3 linked regions of the Daphnia pulex genome follow. The protein of the gene in region 1 binds, or shares a complex with, the protein of each later gene. Links are inferred from orthologs where the notes say so. Each region holds a gene or a part of one and is shown in the gene's direction. Other genes may lie near its edges.

The links.
Region 2: the proteins of translation initiation factor eIF-2B subunit epsilon-like (region 1) and translation initiation factor eIF-2B subunit beta-like are in contact, whole or in part, in a cryo-EM structure (PDB 6O81), measured with the Homo sapiens proteins. The link is inferred for Daphnia pulex from reciprocal best matches to the Homo sapiens genes EIF2B5 and EIF2B2. Residues at the interface, in NP_003898.2 of Homo sapiens: Glu81, Thr84, Ala85, Thr115, Leu117, Lys186, Glu187, Ser188, Ser189, Ser191, His192, Pro193, Thr194, Leu245, Lys294, Glu295, Tyr296, Asp312, Arg315, Arg316, Trp317, Tyr319, Pro320, Ala325, Asn326, Asp329, Thr336, His337, His340, Asn341; in NP_055054.1 of Homo sapiens: Ser12, Glu13, Glu16, Glu20, Lys23, Arg24, Asp283, Lys287, Phe288, Val289, Ala290, Pro291, Glu292, Glu293, Leu295, Pro296, Phe297, Thr298, Gly300, Asp301, Leu303, Glu304, Val306, Ser307, His309.
Region 3: the proteins of translation initiation factor eIF-2B subunit epsilon-like (region 1) and translation initiation factor eIF-2B subunit gamma-like are in contact, whole or in part, in a cryo-EM structure (PDB 7VLK), measured with the Homo sapiens proteins. The link is inferred for Daphnia pulex from reciprocal best matches to the Homo sapiens genes EIF2B5 and EIF2B3. Residues at the interface, in NP_003898.2 of Homo sapiens: Pro190, Val202, Arg222, Arg223, Phe224, Ala225, Phe226, Pro227, Leu228, Phe231, Gln232, Ser234, Ser235, Asp236, Gly237, Val238, Glu239, Val240, Arg241, Tyr242, Asp243; in NP_065098.1 of Homo sapiens: Arg155, Phe157, Glu178, Glu179, Leu180, Val181, Ile182, Lys183, Gly184, Leu187, Gln188, Pro191, Arg192, Ile193, Arg194, Phe195, His196, Thr197, Gly198.

The regions. Positions count from the first base shown.
Region 1 is NC_060026.1:13,821,685-13,827,321, forward strand, and holds translation initiation factor eIF-2B subunit epsilon-like, read left to right. Parts: upstream 1-2,161; 5' UTR 2,162-2,333; coding exon 2,334-2,471; intron 2,472-2,540; coding exon 2,541-2,857; intron 2,858-2,935; coding exon 2,936-3,110; intron 3,111-3,175; coding exon 3,176-3,417; intron 3,418-3,482; coding exon 3,483-3,605; intron 3,606-3,671; coding exon 3,672-3,825; intron 3,826-3,884; coding exon 3,885-4,077; intron 4,078-4,150; coding exon 4,151-4,381; intron 4,382-4,440; coding exon 4,441-4,613; intron 4,614-4,677; coding exon 4,678-4,956; intron 4,957-5,027; coding exon 5,028-5,090; 3' UTR 5,091-5,173; downstream 5,174-5,637. Other genes in the region: uncharacterized protein LOC124203752, read right to left, coding at 1-82; complement component 1 Q subcomponent-binding protein, mitochondrial-like, read left to right, coding at 405-621, 684-834, 900-1,099, 1,157-1,245, 1,309-1,458; translocator protein-like, read right to left, coding at 5,485-5,637. UniProt on the Homo sapiens protein: Acts as a component of the translation initiation factor 2B (eIF2B) complex, which catalyzes the exchange of GDP for GTP on eukaryotic initiation factor 2 (eIF2) gamma subunit.
Region 2 is NC_060019.1:5,859,867-5,864,852, reverse strand, and holds translation initiation factor eIF-2B subunit beta-like, read left to right. Parts: upstream 1-1,967; 5' UTR 1,968-2,107; coding exon 2,108-2,172; intron 2,173-2,252; coding exon 2,253-2,339; intron 2,340-2,406; coding exon 2,407-2,685; intron 2,686-2,749; coding exon 2,750-2,906; intron 2,907-2,974; coding exon 2,975-3,169; intron 3,170-3,233; coding exon 3,234-3,430; intron 3,431-3,504; coding exon 3,505-3,577; 3' UTR 3,578-3,643; downstream 3,644-4,986. Other genes in the region: asparagine-rich zinc finger protein AZF1-like, read right to left, coding at 4,027-4,531, 4,600-4,857, 4,922-4,986. UniProt on the Homo sapiens protein: Acts as a component of the translation initiation factor 2B (eIF2B) complex, which catalyzes the exchange of GDP for GTP on eukaryotic initiation factor 2 (eIF2) gamma subunit.
Region 3 is NC_060019.1:11,424,758-11,430,590, forward strand, and holds translation initiation factor eIF-2B subunit gamma-like, read left to right. Parts: upstream 1-2,998; 5' UTR 2,999-3,113; exon of another isoform or gene 3,114-3,156; intron 3,157-3,317; exon of another isoform or gene 3,318-3,335; 5' UTR 3,336-3,347; coding exon 3,348-3,495; intron 3,496-3,553; coding exon 3,554-3,708; intron 3,709-3,776; coding exon 3,777-3,942; intron 3,943-4,040; coding exon 4,041-4,248; intron 4,249-4,322; coding exon 4,323-4,459; intron 4,460-4,530; coding exon 4,531-4,721; intron 4,722-4,786; coding exon 4,787-4,852; intron 4,853-4,915; coding exon 4,916-5,064; intron 5,065-5,121; coding exon 5,122-5,219; intron 5,220-5,286; coding exon 5,287-5,339; 3' UTR 5,340-5,517; downstream 5,518-5,833. Other genes in the region: vacuolar protein sorting-associated protein 33A-like, read left to right, coding at 950-1,059, 1,121-1,208, 1,272-1,376, 1,444-1,738, 1,811-1,937, 1,999-2,065. UniProt on the Homo sapiens protein: Acts as a component of the translation initiation factor 2B (eIF2B) complex, which catalyzes the exchange of GDP for GTP on the eukaryotic initiation factor 2 (eIF2) complex gamma subunit.

The DNA.
Region 1 (5,637 bases):
TACTAAAGTATTTTTCATTTCCGTTACCCGATGTAACAGATGTGCAATATGGACTCAGAAAACATCTGTTACGAGGTCCCATCTTAAAGACGATTGAATATTAACTAAATATTCCTTTTATTGTTTTCACAGTTTCGGAGGGAGTTTGAGTTCAGTTTAAGTTGTAAACAAAAACCCACAACAATTAATCGATAGTGGAAAAAACTCGATAATCGATATATTTCCTCGTGGCTTCTGCTTTTGCCAGAAGATTCTTGTCTTAACTTGCAGTCTTGCTCTTGCACCACAGTCCCTTGCAGAATTATTATTTAATTCGCTGATAAAGTTCATCTTCGTTCGCTCTATTCATTCTTTAAAATCTCAATTTGTAAGACTCTGTTAAAGTTCAAAATCTCATTCCCATAATGTCATTTTCGGTGATAAATGTCGTTCGAAACGTTTCACGCCATGCGTTACCGGCGTCCATGAGGTCTATCCTGTCGAAACCCATTACCAGGTCTTTGTGGTACATGTCTAATCCCACAAATCAATTTGTCCCAACAAAACTTTCTCCAGCATTCAAACATACTCCCCTGAGCCCTTCCTGCCCATGTGGAGAATGCAGAGGAGTTCATACAAGAGGTAATACATTTTAACCATTTCACGTCACATTTAAATACAGCATAATATATGTTGCATCATAGGGGACAAAGAGCTGATTGAGTTCCTCTCAGAGGAAATTGCTGCTGAGAAGAAGGGAATGAGCAAAGCCAGGCCTGTCGCTAACTTGGATGGATTTGATGTTAAACACAATGGTTCAGAGATAGTATTGTCTAAGAAATTTAATGATGAACAGTGAGTAAATCTTTATGGGACAATTCTAAATTGAAACTTGTGGCTTAATTTTATTCATTAAACAGAATTGAGATAACAGTTAACGTCAACCATTCTGTTGATGCTGACATCAGTGAGGAAGTTGACAACAAAGCTGACAATCCTCCCCAGGCTGAAATGAAATCAAAACCACACTTTGAAGTCAAACTAATGAAGGGAAATCAAGTAACCAGATTTGCCTGCAGTTACATTCAAGATGCAGGAGAGCCTGTTGAAGATGCCCCAAGTAAGTGTTAATTGTATTTGAATAGCCAACAATATAAATAACACTCGATTTTTTCAGATGACATTTTCACTATTGATGAACTTGCAGTATATGAGGACAAACATAATGATCAGACTTATGCTGTCGCTGGAGACATTCTTGATGGGGTATATTTTAAAGTCAACAATATTTTAACCAAATTAAACTGATATTTCACATTTTCGTTATAGTACATGTACGACCTTCTGATGAATCTGCTCGAAGAACGAGGAGTATCCAACGAATTTGCTGAAAAGCTGAGCGATCTAGCTACCAAGCGGGAACACCATCTATTTATTAATTTGTTAGAGAGCCTTCAGTCTTTTGTCCAAGGCAAATGAAAGGTTTAGAATAGTTTTGAGATGAAAAATAAAAAGCTATGTAGTCATTTTGTTTAAAATGCTGATTTATTATTTATGGTTTTCCAAAACAATGGTTATTTAGAACCATCAGGGGTCTTAAATTCATTTTCAGTCCCCATTACTTCTTTTTCTATTTCTTTAAGGTCAATATTCTGTTCCTGGATTGCTTTCTAAAACAGAAAAGAGTAGATAAACATCTATAAAAGACAGAAATGTTGGACCAAAATTAACTTACCCTAACACATTCACGATACACCTTAAAGAAAGGACCACATGAGTCTGTTGAATGATCCCCTCTTAAGAATTTTTCTGTGAACCATGTGTTGAAACATGCATCATAATTTTGCTTCAATTGGCTACAGGCTTCACTTACACTATTCATGGTACAAATTTAACCTAGAAAAATAAAAATACAATAATCAATTAACATACTTTAAGAGCTTTGTGTGTCCCACACTTGTACCTTTGAACTGTAGATGAAGATTGGGCAGGATAAGCAGAGATCATTAACAAATTAGAGCACTTTTCTTGATTGAAAATTTATTCAACACGGTTGTAATTTCAATTAAAACCGGTCCTCAAAACATATTATGTACTAGGTAGTTTACAGCATTATCAAATCATGTGTACTTTGATTCGATCGTCTGCTCCATTGAGATAGCCTAGCGGCGAAAGAAAGTAACTTTTGTAGCAGACAATATTTTGCATCATTTCTCATTACCATAATCCCATTCCCTTCCTGCAATTCCTTGAATTTGGACGAGCTCACATGTGGACACTATTTATTACAGCTGTTGTAAATTATAAGAAATACTTTTCTTTGCCACAAGAGAATTGAAATACTGAATTAAAGAATGAGCTCCAATAAAACTTCCAAATCAATGTCCAAGTCCGGTTCTGAAGTTCTTAAACAAGAAGATGTTGTTCTTGCTGTTCTAATCGCTGATAGTTTTTCAATACGCTTCGCACCTGTAACTGATTCAAAACCGAAGGTGAAGATCCTACAATTAGATTTTTTAACGTTGAGGACACATATAACTGTTTAACTATTATTACATCAGGCACTTCTTCCGCTGGTCAATAGGCCCATGATTGACTATGCCTTGGAATCTCTACTTCTTAGTGGAGTACAGAAAACCTTTGTTTACTGTGTTGCACATGCTGATCAAATTCGTCAGTACCTCAAAGAATCTAAATGGATGAGATCTGTGTCTCCTATGTCCATTGAAGTTATTTCTCAAAGCCCTGATGACTGTCGATCTCTTGGAGATTCCCTTCGAGACATAGATGGAAAGTCATTGATAAGAGGAGACTTTATATTGATGTCTGCTGATGTCATTTCTAATGTACAGCTCATACCCATATTAGAAGAGCACAGGTAAATTGTAACATCTCTATAAAGTTGTAATCAAATCCATATCAAGTTTTTATTTTGATTTCATGCACTCTTTAATAGAGAAAAGAGGAAAACTGATAAAGGGATTGTCATGACACACATTTTTAAGAAATCTTTCCCGGGTCATCGATCCCGTTCTGCAGAAGAAGAACTCGTCTTAGCCATCAATCCCACCAACGGTCGTATTCTCAATTACCAGCAAACAACAAACCTGAAGAAGCTCAGTTTTCCTTTGGTGAGTTTCTGCTTTCAGTGTTTCGAAACCAACGATTCTTATTGATTTTCATATCAAATCTACAGGAAATGTTTAAAGAGCACGGTCTTGTTGATTTGCGCTATGATTTGGTTGATACGCACATTTCTATTTGTTCTCCCGTGGTTTTGCCGCTTTTTTCCGACAATTTCGATTACCAAACGTGGGGAGATTTTGTCCGAGGTATTCTCATCAACGAAGAAATTCTTAATAATACCATCTACTACCATCAGTTGGAAGGATCATACGCGGCACATGTTTCGAACGTTCCCATGTATGATGCTGTGAGGTAAGGAACACTTTCCAACATTTTAAATTCTACTCATCAAGTAACGAAAATGTTTATTTTTACAGCAAAGATGTTATTCAACGATGGGCATTTCCGCTTGTTCCCGATTTGAATCGGAGTGAAACAACTCCTCGACACACTTTATCACGTCACAATGTTTACAAGCAGCCTGGTGTCACCTTGGCCAAGTACACAATAACCTTTTCTCTTTTTTATTTCCATGTTACCATGATAACACCCTATTTGCGAAATAGGGAAAGTGTTTTGGAAAGGGACGTGGCGGTAGGAGAAAACTCTAAAATAGGAGAACGCACATTCGTCACCCAGTCCGTCATTGGCAGCCGTTGCACAATCGGAAACGACGTGTACATCAATAATGCTTATATTTGGGACGATGTTAACATCAAGGTTAGACCCAGCGAAAATTTTATTTTTGATAAATAATCAAACAATTTGCTTTTAATTAGAACAACTGCCACATTGAAGTAGCTCTCATCGCCGATGGTGTTGTGTTAAATGAAGGAGTCAAAATCGGCCGAGGCTGTGTCATTGGACCCGGAGTAGTTTTAGCTGCCGGTACCAAAATCCCTGACAATACTCGCCTCATGGCCCATCCTCCCAAATGTGATAACGACTTTGAAACATCGGACGAAGAAGATGGTAATGCAAACTTGAATACGTATGTCTATTAATTTAAATATAGTTACATTGGTATTTTTGTTTCCCCTTTTAGATAAGGTAGCTAAACCGTTTAGTGCCGATAGTGTCGCTTACGTTTATCAACGACCCGTCGAAGAAGATTCCGATGCAGAGTCTTTGATTGATGAATTATGGGGCTTGGACATTGATGAAGATTCAGAAAGTGAAGAAGATGAAGACGAAGACGAAGCTGATAACGACGAAGATGAAGAACACGAAGAAGAAGTGGACGTGGGCGACCTGCCAGAGGATATGAATGCTAGATGTAAGTTGCCTATGTGAACCTAAAAAATTAATTTACTAATTTGTTGAATTTTTCTATAGCATTTTATAATGAAGTCTTGGAGAGTCTTCAAAGAGGCTACGAAGAAAAAATCAAGGGTGACAACTTGGTTCTTGAAATTAACTCGTCCAAATACGCTTATAACGTTACCATGAAAGAGGTGAACATGCTCGTTATCAAAGCTATGCTTTCGTTGCCATCCGTCATGACTAAGGTAAACTTTAACGGCGAATCTTTTTGTATTAGATGTTTGATTGAAATTTGGTTGGCTTTTACAGAAGGCCGCCACTGGCACCAACGAAGATTGGGTCGCTCTAAGGCCGATATTGCAGCACTTTCTTCCTGTCATGAGAAATTACTTGAAAAACAATCAGTCGATGTTGGATTCTCTCGAGGCTCTGGAAGAATTTGGAGTTCATAACTCCCATTTTGTGAAATCTATTTGTAAAGTTCTCCATTTTTTGTACGGCGAGGACGTGTTGAGTGAGGACGCAATTTTGGAGTGGTACACCAATCCACCGAACGATCCCAGTGCATTGAAAACTATCCGGAAAACTGTACGTCTTAATTTCTTGAAAAGTTGACTTGATCCTTGGCCTGTTATTAACTTGTTTGTGTTTTGAAACAGGTGGAACCATTTATTACATGGCTGGAAGAAGCGGAAGAGGAATCATCGGAGGAATCGGATTGATAAGTCGCACTTGAATTTGTCCTGGTTTCTGAGAGCTGTAACAAATATCGAATTTATTGAAGTATATCTTTTTTCACAATTTATATGTCACTACTTCACATTTACTTGGATAACCATTGAAAATTACAGGCGTTGGTCACATAAGTAATAAGTGTAATGGTGGCGTATTTAAGAGTAACCGATTCAGTTCATGTCGTGAAAGAAACCAATTTTGAAAATCCTTTCGTAGTTCCAAATGGGTTAAATCGTAAAGAAAAAGGACGTACAAAATTATTTTAACGGATGCATTTATTTGAGAAATTTTGTGATTAACCGGTAAATGGAAATGCTCATCAAATGAAGACGTTGGAATGTGGGATGGAAAGAAAGCAATCCAAACCAAACGATTATCCATTTAAATCTTTTTCTTGTTTGCTGGTAAATTCATTCTCCAAATGGTGAAGGTGAGTAGCGAAGCGAAGCTCACCCAGACCAAGTAGGGCATCATCAAGTAAGAAGCCGTTTCGTTGACAGATTTAAAAGTGTAGACACAAGAAGCGATGCCGAT
Region 2 (4,986 bases), on another chromosome or scaffold:
TCGGTTCCGTACAATAGCGCTCTAGCTATTCGTATAAGTCAAACTTTCTCTCGCTGATTAGATTGCCGTTTTTTTTTTCACACTTGATTACTTCCTCTACTGATGAATTGCATGATTCTAAATTTCCCTTTAGCCCCAAACTTTTCTTCCTATACCCCCAATCAAAAAGGAATTGGAATACTACGCCGTCACATTTTTTTGCCGGGAACAAACACAACAAAAAATTTGGGTTTAATATTTGAAAAATTTCTATACATAATGGCAACAAATTATTTTGTTTGGGTTTGAACCAGCTATATAGGAGAAAGGGAAAAGGAAACTCCTATATAGTAGACGCATATTCTAAATAGACAACAAGCGTGCGGACAAGCAAACCTGAAAAGAAGGCACCCGTTTAGTTGGAAACGTGAATTTCTTCTCGTTTTTTTTGCTTTTCTCGGCTTTCCTCTGACGAGAAAGTTAACAACAACAAAAAAAGAAAAAGATATCAAATATCAGTTTCTTGATTGGGCTGATTTTTGCTTCGATTTTTTGGACATTTTCCCCTATAGAGTCAAATTTGATTCGGCACTCGCCAGCAAAAGGGAACAAAAGAAACCGGGCAACCAGAAAACTAGATCCCGAACAGTTTAGACTGTTTTTTATTTGCCGCCTTACCACCACACAAACAGCAGCAAAGATATAGGTCAAGATATTAAACTTTTTTTTTTCTTTTTTTGGCCGGAAAACATCAAAATCAATTTGATTCCGACTCCATTGTTGTTTATAAATAAACGGGCTTGCTCCCGGTACTTAGACACCATCGAGCGTCCCGTGATTAAATTATCGCTTTATTCAATCAATGGTCTTGTATCCGACGCCTACAGGTTTGTCTTTATTTACTTTAGCTGTCACATTATTTCGCCGGCGATGTATTGATTAAGACGTAGGCACCAGGGCCCACCAGAAACGAACAAAAATAAGTTTCCCGACAATGTCTAATTTCGCTGCTCCAAATGTAGTAGGATGTGAAAAACATTCTAAAGAGGCGACAGCGTAAGAAGCCCATCATTCATTTAAAATTGTGTCAAGAGTAATCGTGAAAAACAAGTCACAATATATACTGTACGTATACGACGGAATGAATATAAATGCAGGAGCGAAATCCAACTTGGAAGTGTTACCAAGTTGTTACCAAGTTGAAATTCAGATTTTTCCTCTTTCACGACGAGGGGTTTTATGGCATTTTTCCATGTGGGATGATTCGGGTTTTATTTCCATTGTCTTTTTACCCACAGGTTCAGGTCAGATCTTCCCATTGTCTTTCTTCGTGTGTTCGCTGATCCAAGTTTTGTATATAGTTAAGCAGCACCTCTTGACAGCGTGTGGCCGCCCATTTTTACCGAGAAAGGTAGTGGTGCTGTTAGGTGAAAGCTCCCTCACCAAAAATTTTACTTCGACCTAATCAAAACTTGGCCGTAAATTGTTACGACGATCTTTGACGTAATATTATTATGTGGTTGATTCCAACGCCCCGGATACATATCAAAGTAAGACCCAAAAACATTAAACGTTAACGCGAAATCACTCTGAATTTATGGATGACATTTTGTCTTGACGTAGAGTGTACACTTGCACATTTTACGCAATCGGGATTGGCTATCGTTTTAGATTGGGTATTAAGGCAGTGCTGATTGTAATCGCACCAATAATCTTATTGGTTGAATTATCATAGATAACACAAATTTAAAGGTGTGCGCAACGACAATAAAAGATAACGAGTAAAAGCATAAAAGATGACGAATTTATCTACTTATCTTACACTCACTCTGTTATCAAACCAACCATAACCAGGGGTATGGTAGGGCCTATAGAGATATGGATATGCCATAAGCCCAGGCATAACCAACCATAACGAACCAGATCGCTTTTTCAGAGGCTTTCTTCGAAAGATGATGTACGTATTTGAGCGATCGGGCACTCGCGCAGTAGCAGTTGCAGTTGCAGACGAACTTTGTAAATAAACAATACGCTGCAAAATTCTCGTTTTCTCCAGTGAACTACTTCACTTTATTATCTGTCTTTAAACCAGTTATTTCAGAATAAATTATAGAAAATCAGTGTGAAAATGCCGAGTCTTGAAAGTGAAATTGAAGGTATAATTGAAACTTTCACCAACAATCTTAAGCAAAGGTATGATTGTTATAGGCCATAGAAGTAATGCTGGCTATTCCATCTCGTTATTGACATTCTGTGTTTCTTTTTATTCGTAGAAAGTTCAAAGGATCGAGAGACTTGGCCCTTAATTCCGTACAGCTTTGGAAAAAAATCATTGGTCAAATGAAATGGCAGAATGCAAGGTTTGTTAGTTTATCTCAAGTCCAGAATTCCTGTTCCAGTTATTAAGTGATTCAATTCAATCTGTAGGGAGCTTATGGACACCATAAAAAGAATAGGTAAAGATTTGGCAGAGACTGCACCTTCAGAAACAGTCATTGGCAACATGACAAGAAGAATGTTAAAGATTGTCAGGGATGAGTATGCCATGCTGCAGAAAGGAAAACAAGAAGAATCTGATTTGCAAGACTCACTTCAAAAAATTCTCACAGCAGATGAAAGTGATTCTGATTACACTAAAAACATCCCCTTGCTCAAACCAGCCATCATGGAGCACATTGGAGAGTTCCTTGCCGAATTAGAATCCAGGTTTGAGAATTTACCACATGTCTAGCTTCACAGCCTATTCAACTACCTTAATTTGTTTCCACAGTGAAATCGACATTTCCGCCCAGGCCCTAGAACACATTCACGCTAACGAAATCATCATGACTATTGGTTATTCTAAAACTGTCTCGGCGTTTCTGAAGTCAGCTGCGAAAAATCGTGTTTTCCAGGTCATCGTTGCTGAATGTGCTCCATTTTTCCACGTAGGCAGCGAATTTGAAAACGTTTATTTGCATAACACCTGTATATTTACTCCAGACTATTATTACAGGGACATCAATTGGCTGCAGATTTAGCCGAAGCTCGTATCTCTACTACCCTTATTCCGGATTCTGCCATTTTCGCAATGATGGCACGTGTGAATAAAGTAATCATCGGTACTCATTCTGTTATGGCCAACGGTGGTCTAAAAGCAGTGTGTGGCACTCATACCCTTGCACTGGCTGCAAAGCATTATTCGGTTCCGGTAATGGAATAAGTTTTGTAGGCCTACACTTTCAGCTAAAATAATTTATTTTTTATGATTTCAGTTCGTCGTATGTGCACCAATGTTTAAACTCTGTCCCGAATATGTCTGTAGCCTTGATCAAGATGGATTCAACCAGTTTGTGTCACCCGAGGAAGTATTGAACAACGACGAAGGCAAGCTCGTTTCCAAAGTGAACGTCTACAATCCAATTTTCGACTACGTACCTCCAGAGCTCGTCACACTCTTTATTTCAAATACGTAAGCGAATTATTTTTAAATAGTTTGAAGATAATGAAGAAGTATCTATTTTATAATCACACTTGTTTCTCTAGCGGAGGCAATGCACCGTCTTACATCTACCGACTCCTCAGTGAACTGTACCACCCTTTGGACGTGCAATTGTAATGTGGGAAAAAATGGCTTTGTATTAAAAAGGCCGAGATACATAAACACACAGCACTAAGAAAATTACGAACATGGAGTGAATTTTTGTTTCGTTTCAAAACTACAGTTGGGTTCTAAGTATTGGTCTTCTCTATCAGCAAGATTAAAAGAGTAAACACCAAAAGCACGAATCGATTGGTTAAAGCTTCATCAAGACACTGGATCGAAAGGAGAGAGTAAATTAAATAAGTAGTGAAGAGAACAGTCGATTCATCTTTCAGGTACGAGAAAGAGTTCTCAAAATAAAGTAGTGATGGAAATGGAGAAATATCATAATAAGCGAAAATAATACCGTTTTTCACTGAGCAATTACAAGGAAATGGAACAGCAGATTAGAAATTGACAGAATTGGAAGGATAGGTTATTGAGAGAGACAAAACTTTGGTGAATTCATTATGTTCATTTTCTTTTCAGCACTGCGAACTTGAAGAGGCCAGCTGCATCAAAGCAATCGCGCCAGTCCATTGTTTTTCGGCGTTTTGGAGTGCTCGCATTAAGGTGCTGTTATTGGGTTTATCTGGTGTGGACGTGTTTTTGGGTTGAAATACCCTGGGTGAAGCTATTATGACACTGGGTCGGTTCATGTTGGTAATGAGCTGTTCGTTGTTACTCGTAAGAGCTTCACGCAGCCAACGCCGCTTGGGTTTTTCGGGACGGACAGGTGTGTCAGGCAGCGCCAAAAATCCGCTGGAACCGTTAGCCGTTTCGTTCATGACGTTTTCGCGACTGGAATCCAAGGTACTGTTGAGGTGGCACTCCTGAAGCAAAGATTCATATCCGGATGATATGTCGCGGCGCGGTGTCGATTTAGTCGGACTAGTTATGATGGACTTGTTCTTGTTGTTGTTCGACCTCGGAGACCATTGAAGAGGAGTACAGCCAAACGAAGAAGGCTCTACAGCTTCGCAAAGTTTCCTGTAACAAAGCAAATGAATGTCAGATGCAATCCGAGAAAGACATTTGATAGTTTTAGTAACACTAACCGATAGAGGGGAATCGAATGGGTTTCATCACTAGTTGATTCCATTCCATAGTGCAGTGATTTGGCGATGCTGCCTTTGCTTCTACGGTGCTGTCTGTTGATGTTATTATCCTGATTCTGTTGTTCGTTTTCTTGTTGCGAGTCACTTGACCAGCAGGCTTTCTTTGTTCGACATTTCTTAATTCTAATACTAGAATCGGTATCGTCGTTGGTATCAGACAACTTGCCTGGTGTTTTTTCATCATTCCTCTTCCTGTAACTGAGAGTCAAACAGAAAATTATAATTAATTTGCATTCTTGAAAACCATATAAAATCAACATACTTTTCCAGCCAAAGGAGAACTTCTGGTGAGTTGTTTTCAGTTTGATTATTCAAGGCATGAAGGGC
Region 3 (5,833 bases), on another chromosome or scaffold:
CGTCGTCATCATGTTGACATGGTTAGCTTGCAATTTGTAATTATTAAAGTAACGCATAATTTCAACATTCCTGTTTCAATTCTTAGGCAAAAGACTATACTATGGATTACCTTATTCATCATTGTCATTGTAATTGTTTCGCATAGCTAAATGCTTCATGAAGGGTAAATCAACGCAATATCATTTATTATTTTGAGTTTTCTTACGTATTTTGTTTGCCTAACTAATTTTGTTGTGACGCCCAGGAAAATGACCATAAAATGGGTTTGCTTGATTTTCATGGTAGTGTATTAAACCATTTCTGTGAGTCACTCATTGATTTTGTTGTGACGCCCAGGAAAATGACCATAAAATGGGTTTCTTGATTTTCATAGTGCACTAAACCATTTCTGTGAGTCACTCACTGATATAAATACCATATGATGAGTAGTCATCATGTATGGTAAGCACTGAAATAATTTACCATAATTGTAATGCCTCACGATAAATTTTATTTTGACTGTTAGGCTAATGATTAGAAGTTAGACATGAATATGTATCGTCCTCACCTAAATTTGGATGTGCACGTGTCTGTTTCAGAAAGAAAGTTAAGGACAGGAGAAGATGAGCATTGGTGATACTAAATTTTATTTTATTTTATGCGGATTTAGTCATTAGCTTTTTGTGACTTAGGACAACCACAAAATCCATTAGGTTGTCTGTTGACAGTCTGTTGATGTCTTGTTCAGTAAAAATAAATTTCGTCAACAGTTTTGTTATTGTTACAGGATATTGTTTCTCTTTTAGAGAAGTTCAGTGGAACAAAGGTATTTTGGTGTGTGCTATTCCATTTAAGAAATGTACGTAAATTCATCAATTATGCTAGGCAATATTTTGGGATGAACAACTCACTGGCCCCATTGGTTTGGTGGCAGAATACAGTTTTCTTAAGGAACTAGATGTTGTAAAAATGTTTCAGTTAAAACCTGGGCGCTTGCCTTCCATATCTGTTAAAAATATGCTGTTCATCACAAGACCTGAAGTTGAGCTGATGGATTGTATTGCCGATAACTTGCACAGGTATGAATAATCTACATATTTTAACTTTAAATAGTCAACAATAAGTTAATTTACATTTCAGCGAAGAAAGCCAAGGACATTCTGCTAGTAAGGAATATCAGTTAATTTTTGTCTCCCGACGAAGTGCAGTATGTGAACAGCGGCTCAAGGTTGGTTAAAGTTACTTAAATCAGCGAAGAAGAAATTGTTGACAAAATTATTACTTCATTTAGGACAAAGGAGTGTATGGAACTCTTACTTCTATTGATGAACTGCCTGCTGATTTTTTCCCACTAGATAGTGATGTCATTTCAATGGAACTCGATAATGTTTTCAAGGTATTTATTTATGAGCCAAACTTTGAAAGGGATTGCTTGTCATCAATTTCTTCAAATTTATTCTCAGGATTTATATGTTGACAATGAAATCAGCTCCTTACACCAAATTGCTCATGGGTTAATGTCCCTCCAAAGTTTATATGGCATTTTCCCCAACGTTGTGGGTAAGGGGCGCCATGCCCGTAACGTATTCGAATTGATGACTCGAATGCGACGTGATATTGGGGTAGACTGTGATCCCCCCATGTCTCCGTTGTTCGACACTCTCATGATCATTGATAGGACTGTAGATTTGATAACTCCTGTTGTCACTCAGTTGACCTATGAGGGTCTTATCGACGAATTCCATGGAATAAAACATAGTAAGAAAGTATTGTTAGCTTCTGAGTAAAACAATTATTTTACTTGCATTTTGTGGTTTCATTGTTATTTAGATACAGTCAAGCTTCCAGGAGAAAATTTTCAAGCCTCATCAAATGCGGGCCAGTCACCTCGCTCTGATGGTAGCTCTGTTAAATCTGTTGTTCTAAACTCGGCCGAAGAGCTTTACGCTGATTTGAGGTGAAATTTTTAATCAGACAAATTTTGCTTCCGACAGTTTTAAAGTTATTTATTTTCGCAGGGACAAGAACTTTTCAGCCGTGGGTACTGCACTCAGTCGCAAAGCTAAAGCTATTTCAGCTCAGTAGCCTGGATAACGCCATTGTTGCATTTGGAGGTGTTAAGGTTTCTGCATTCGCACGCGATAGTGGAGAAATATTCCTAGACTCCTTCGATGATTCGGTAATCATGGTTAGTTTAAACTCAATAATATTTCTCCAGCAGTTTTTTTCATCGGGATTTTTTTTTCTTGTGTATTCTCTTTAGATCAACCCGGATATACCTGATGAAAGGGAGCTGAGGGAGTGGCTTAAAGACAATCAGTAAACAAATCCTTTTTTACTGATTGTCTGAAGATCTTAATTACTTGACGTCCTTAAACATCGACTGCAGCTAATTGCCTCCATCTTTTTTCTCGAATTGTTGCCTCCATCTGTTTCCCTGAATTGTTGCCTTGCCTCAAACTTTTTTCCTAAAATATGGCTTCGATCTTGTAACCTGAACTGTTGCCTTTTTACCTCAGCCCTTGTGATGGAGAAATTGGGCCACTGTCTGAGTTTAACTCAAGAATTTCGTAAAATGATAAATGATAAAATAATAATAAATTTATTTCGTAAATGATAAAGAAAAAAAATCCAGGAAATTACAATAAACAAAATCTTACGAAATTCCTACATTTTAATTGTTTTGAAAATATAAGCAAAAGCTTTTAACTGATATCTTGCACGTTAATACCCGAGGGCGAACCTGGAAGGGTCTTGTTTCGTTATTTCTGATCTTACTTAACACATTTTTAGATATCGACAAAAATAAATCGTGGCTTAAAATTTGTATATTTTATCGGAGTAGAAGGAGGAGGAGCTTATTTGTTGGTAATTCAAGCAAGTCTAATAAGTAATAAGTCGCAGGATCCTGAAAAAAGGATAATAAACCGTGAATAATTGCAAATTGGCTCCTCCCTCTTTGTGGGCGGAGTTAAGCTTTCCATGGAGGTGTTTCCACGATTTTGGCCAAACCGCCTCAAACCCGCATCGTGCCCGCATTTTACCCACTGCATTTTGAGAATTTGAGCTAGTGTTTTAGTGTTTTGCTGTTTACAGCTGTTTACGAAACGTGTTTAATTTTGTCTACCGTGAGGTTAAATATCTGCTATTATTTTATTACGATTCATTAAATTAAGGTACCCGTACATACTTTCCGTTTGGTTCGATTTTTTTTAGTTAGAAATGTTTGTGTTGTGCGTTTCTGTAACACCGTTTGTGTTACCTTTCCATGTGCTAACAGATACAAAACGCATCATCCTTTTATTTTCTAATTCTCTCTATGTTTGCTATTTATTAGTTTATATTTGTATTCTAGTGTTCTTTAATCATGGAGTACCAAGCAGTAATAATGGCTGCTGGAAGGGGTTCACGTATGACAGATTTAACTCATGACCGTCCCAAGTGTCTATTACCAATATGCAACAGACCAATGATATGGTTTTCATTAAAAATGTTGGAAAATGCTGGTTTTGAAGGTATTTCAGTTTTTGTTTTGAATAAAGTTACTTTTATGTGACAAGGACTACTTTTTAGATGTCATAGTTGTTATCCATGAACAGTTTCGAGCTGAAGTTGCAGCTATTCCAAGCAAGTATGGTTTGAACATCAAACTGGATATAGCATGTCTTCCAAAAAATGAAGACTTTGGAACAGCTGATTCTCTTAGACTAGTCAAAGACCGAATCAAGGTATAAATCTTTAATAATGCAAGATTTTTATCACATATACTATACCTTTAAATCCAATCGAATTGCAGACTGATGTCCTGGTCATTAGTTGTGACTTGGTATGTGATATACCATTGCACAATGTGTTTGACTTACACAGAACTCATCAATCAAGTGTGACTGCACTTTTTAGCCAGTCCTCTCCAGAAGTAATGTCAACTGCAGTGCCTGGTCCCAAAACAAAATTCAAGCAAGGTATATCTTTCAGCATTCACTAGATTACTTTTAATAACAAAAAATGTATGATAGTATATTCATCAAATAATAATATAAAACTTCCCTTAAAATTTTAGAAAGGGACTTGGTTGGATTGGATCTGCAAACACCTCGTCTGGTTTTCTTAGTCTCAGAAGCAGATTTGACTTCAGAAAACGAGGAGGAACTCTCAATCCGAAAATCAGTGATGAAACATTTCCCACAGATAAGTGTTCAAGGTAACTTGCTTGACGCTCATCTCTACGTTATTAAGAAATGGGTCTGTGATTACATTGCCGAAAACCGGTAAGTCACACCGTTATTTAAATATATTACGCGTTAATGGATAAATCATAAAAACAAACAATTTTTTAACATAGGTCATTCACTATGCTGAAGGGTGAGGTCTTGCCTCATCTTGTGCGAAAACAGTTTATAAAAACTCAAAGGAAAAAAAACGAAAAAGAACTCCCCAATGCGGATGTCTCGGTCGTTTCTTTAAATACTACAAATCGAGGCACTATAAATAGAATTTGAAATCTCTACGTCTAAAGTCTAAATAGTATTATAATTTCTTTTTTTGTAAAGATATTTGCAGCTTCCTTGTTGATGTCGAAGAGGAAGAGAAAATCAGGAGCTACTCTGTTTGGAATGATCATCGTGGTGATTTGCGTGGCCCGTACCAAGACCATAATATCCGCTGTTTCGCTTATGTGGCCAAGGAAGGCTTTTGTCTACGTGCAAACTCGCTGAGCAACTATTGTGAGCTCAACCGACAAGTAAAGAAAGAAATTGTTAACTAGAATCGATCGACGATATTATTATTATTTAAAATGAAATTTAGGTTATTAAAAGATGGAATACAATGTTTCCTGATGAGGAAATCACACCACCCGTATCCAAAGCACAAGTAACGAAGACCCTTATAACTTTTAAATGTTGGATAAACATTATAACATTTTTTATAATATAGGTGGGAACTGATTGCCTTATTGGTGAAACGAGTCAGTTATCGGACAAGTGCTCTATTAAGCATTCGGTTATTGGTCAAGGTTGCAATATTGGAGAAAAAGTTAGGATTACCAATTGTATCATCATGGATAACGTTACGATCATGAAAGAGTAAGATGAGATTATTTATTTTTCTGCTACAACGTATATGAATTGTCTTCTTTTTAGAACAACTCTTCAAGGCAGCATTCTGATGGATAATTCGGTAATTGAGAATAGTTGCGATTTAAAAGACTGCATAGTGGGACATACCGTACATAGCAACTGTAAGTTATACTTTAAATGATAAACAGAAAAGGTTGCCATTCTCACGTTTCAATTCTTCGCACTTAGGCAAATCTACCAACGAAGTTTTGGTTGATGCTGATCGGCTCTTGGAAATATGAGTTTAAGTTATTTGAGATGTTTTTCTCAAATAACTAACTAATAAGTGGTGATAATCCTTCGGGCGATACCTTACAATTGAAAGGCGCTGTTTGCGTGGGCCGTTGGTATGCCTAAATTGCGAGACATCTCCTTGAATTTTGGTTGAAAGTATACAAACAATAAAATTTGCTAATTACATATCTAGTAATATTTTTTTAATTACGATTAAACTTGAACTGAAGAAGATGTATTAAAATTGTGCATCTAGTGATACATCCTTTTTTAACCGCGAAGCAGAAAAAATCTAACCCGAAGCTGAACGAGAATTTGTTTTTATTTCTTATTTAATGTTCTCGGTTGGTTCAACTTTTTCTTCTTAAAAAATAACGACGTCTATTTATTTACTTAAATCCGGATCGTCTATAGGCGTATAAGAATACCGCGACATGATTTAGATACAACTAACTATTTTTTAAATCTATGCGTAGTGTCTGTTTACTTACTGATTTATAAT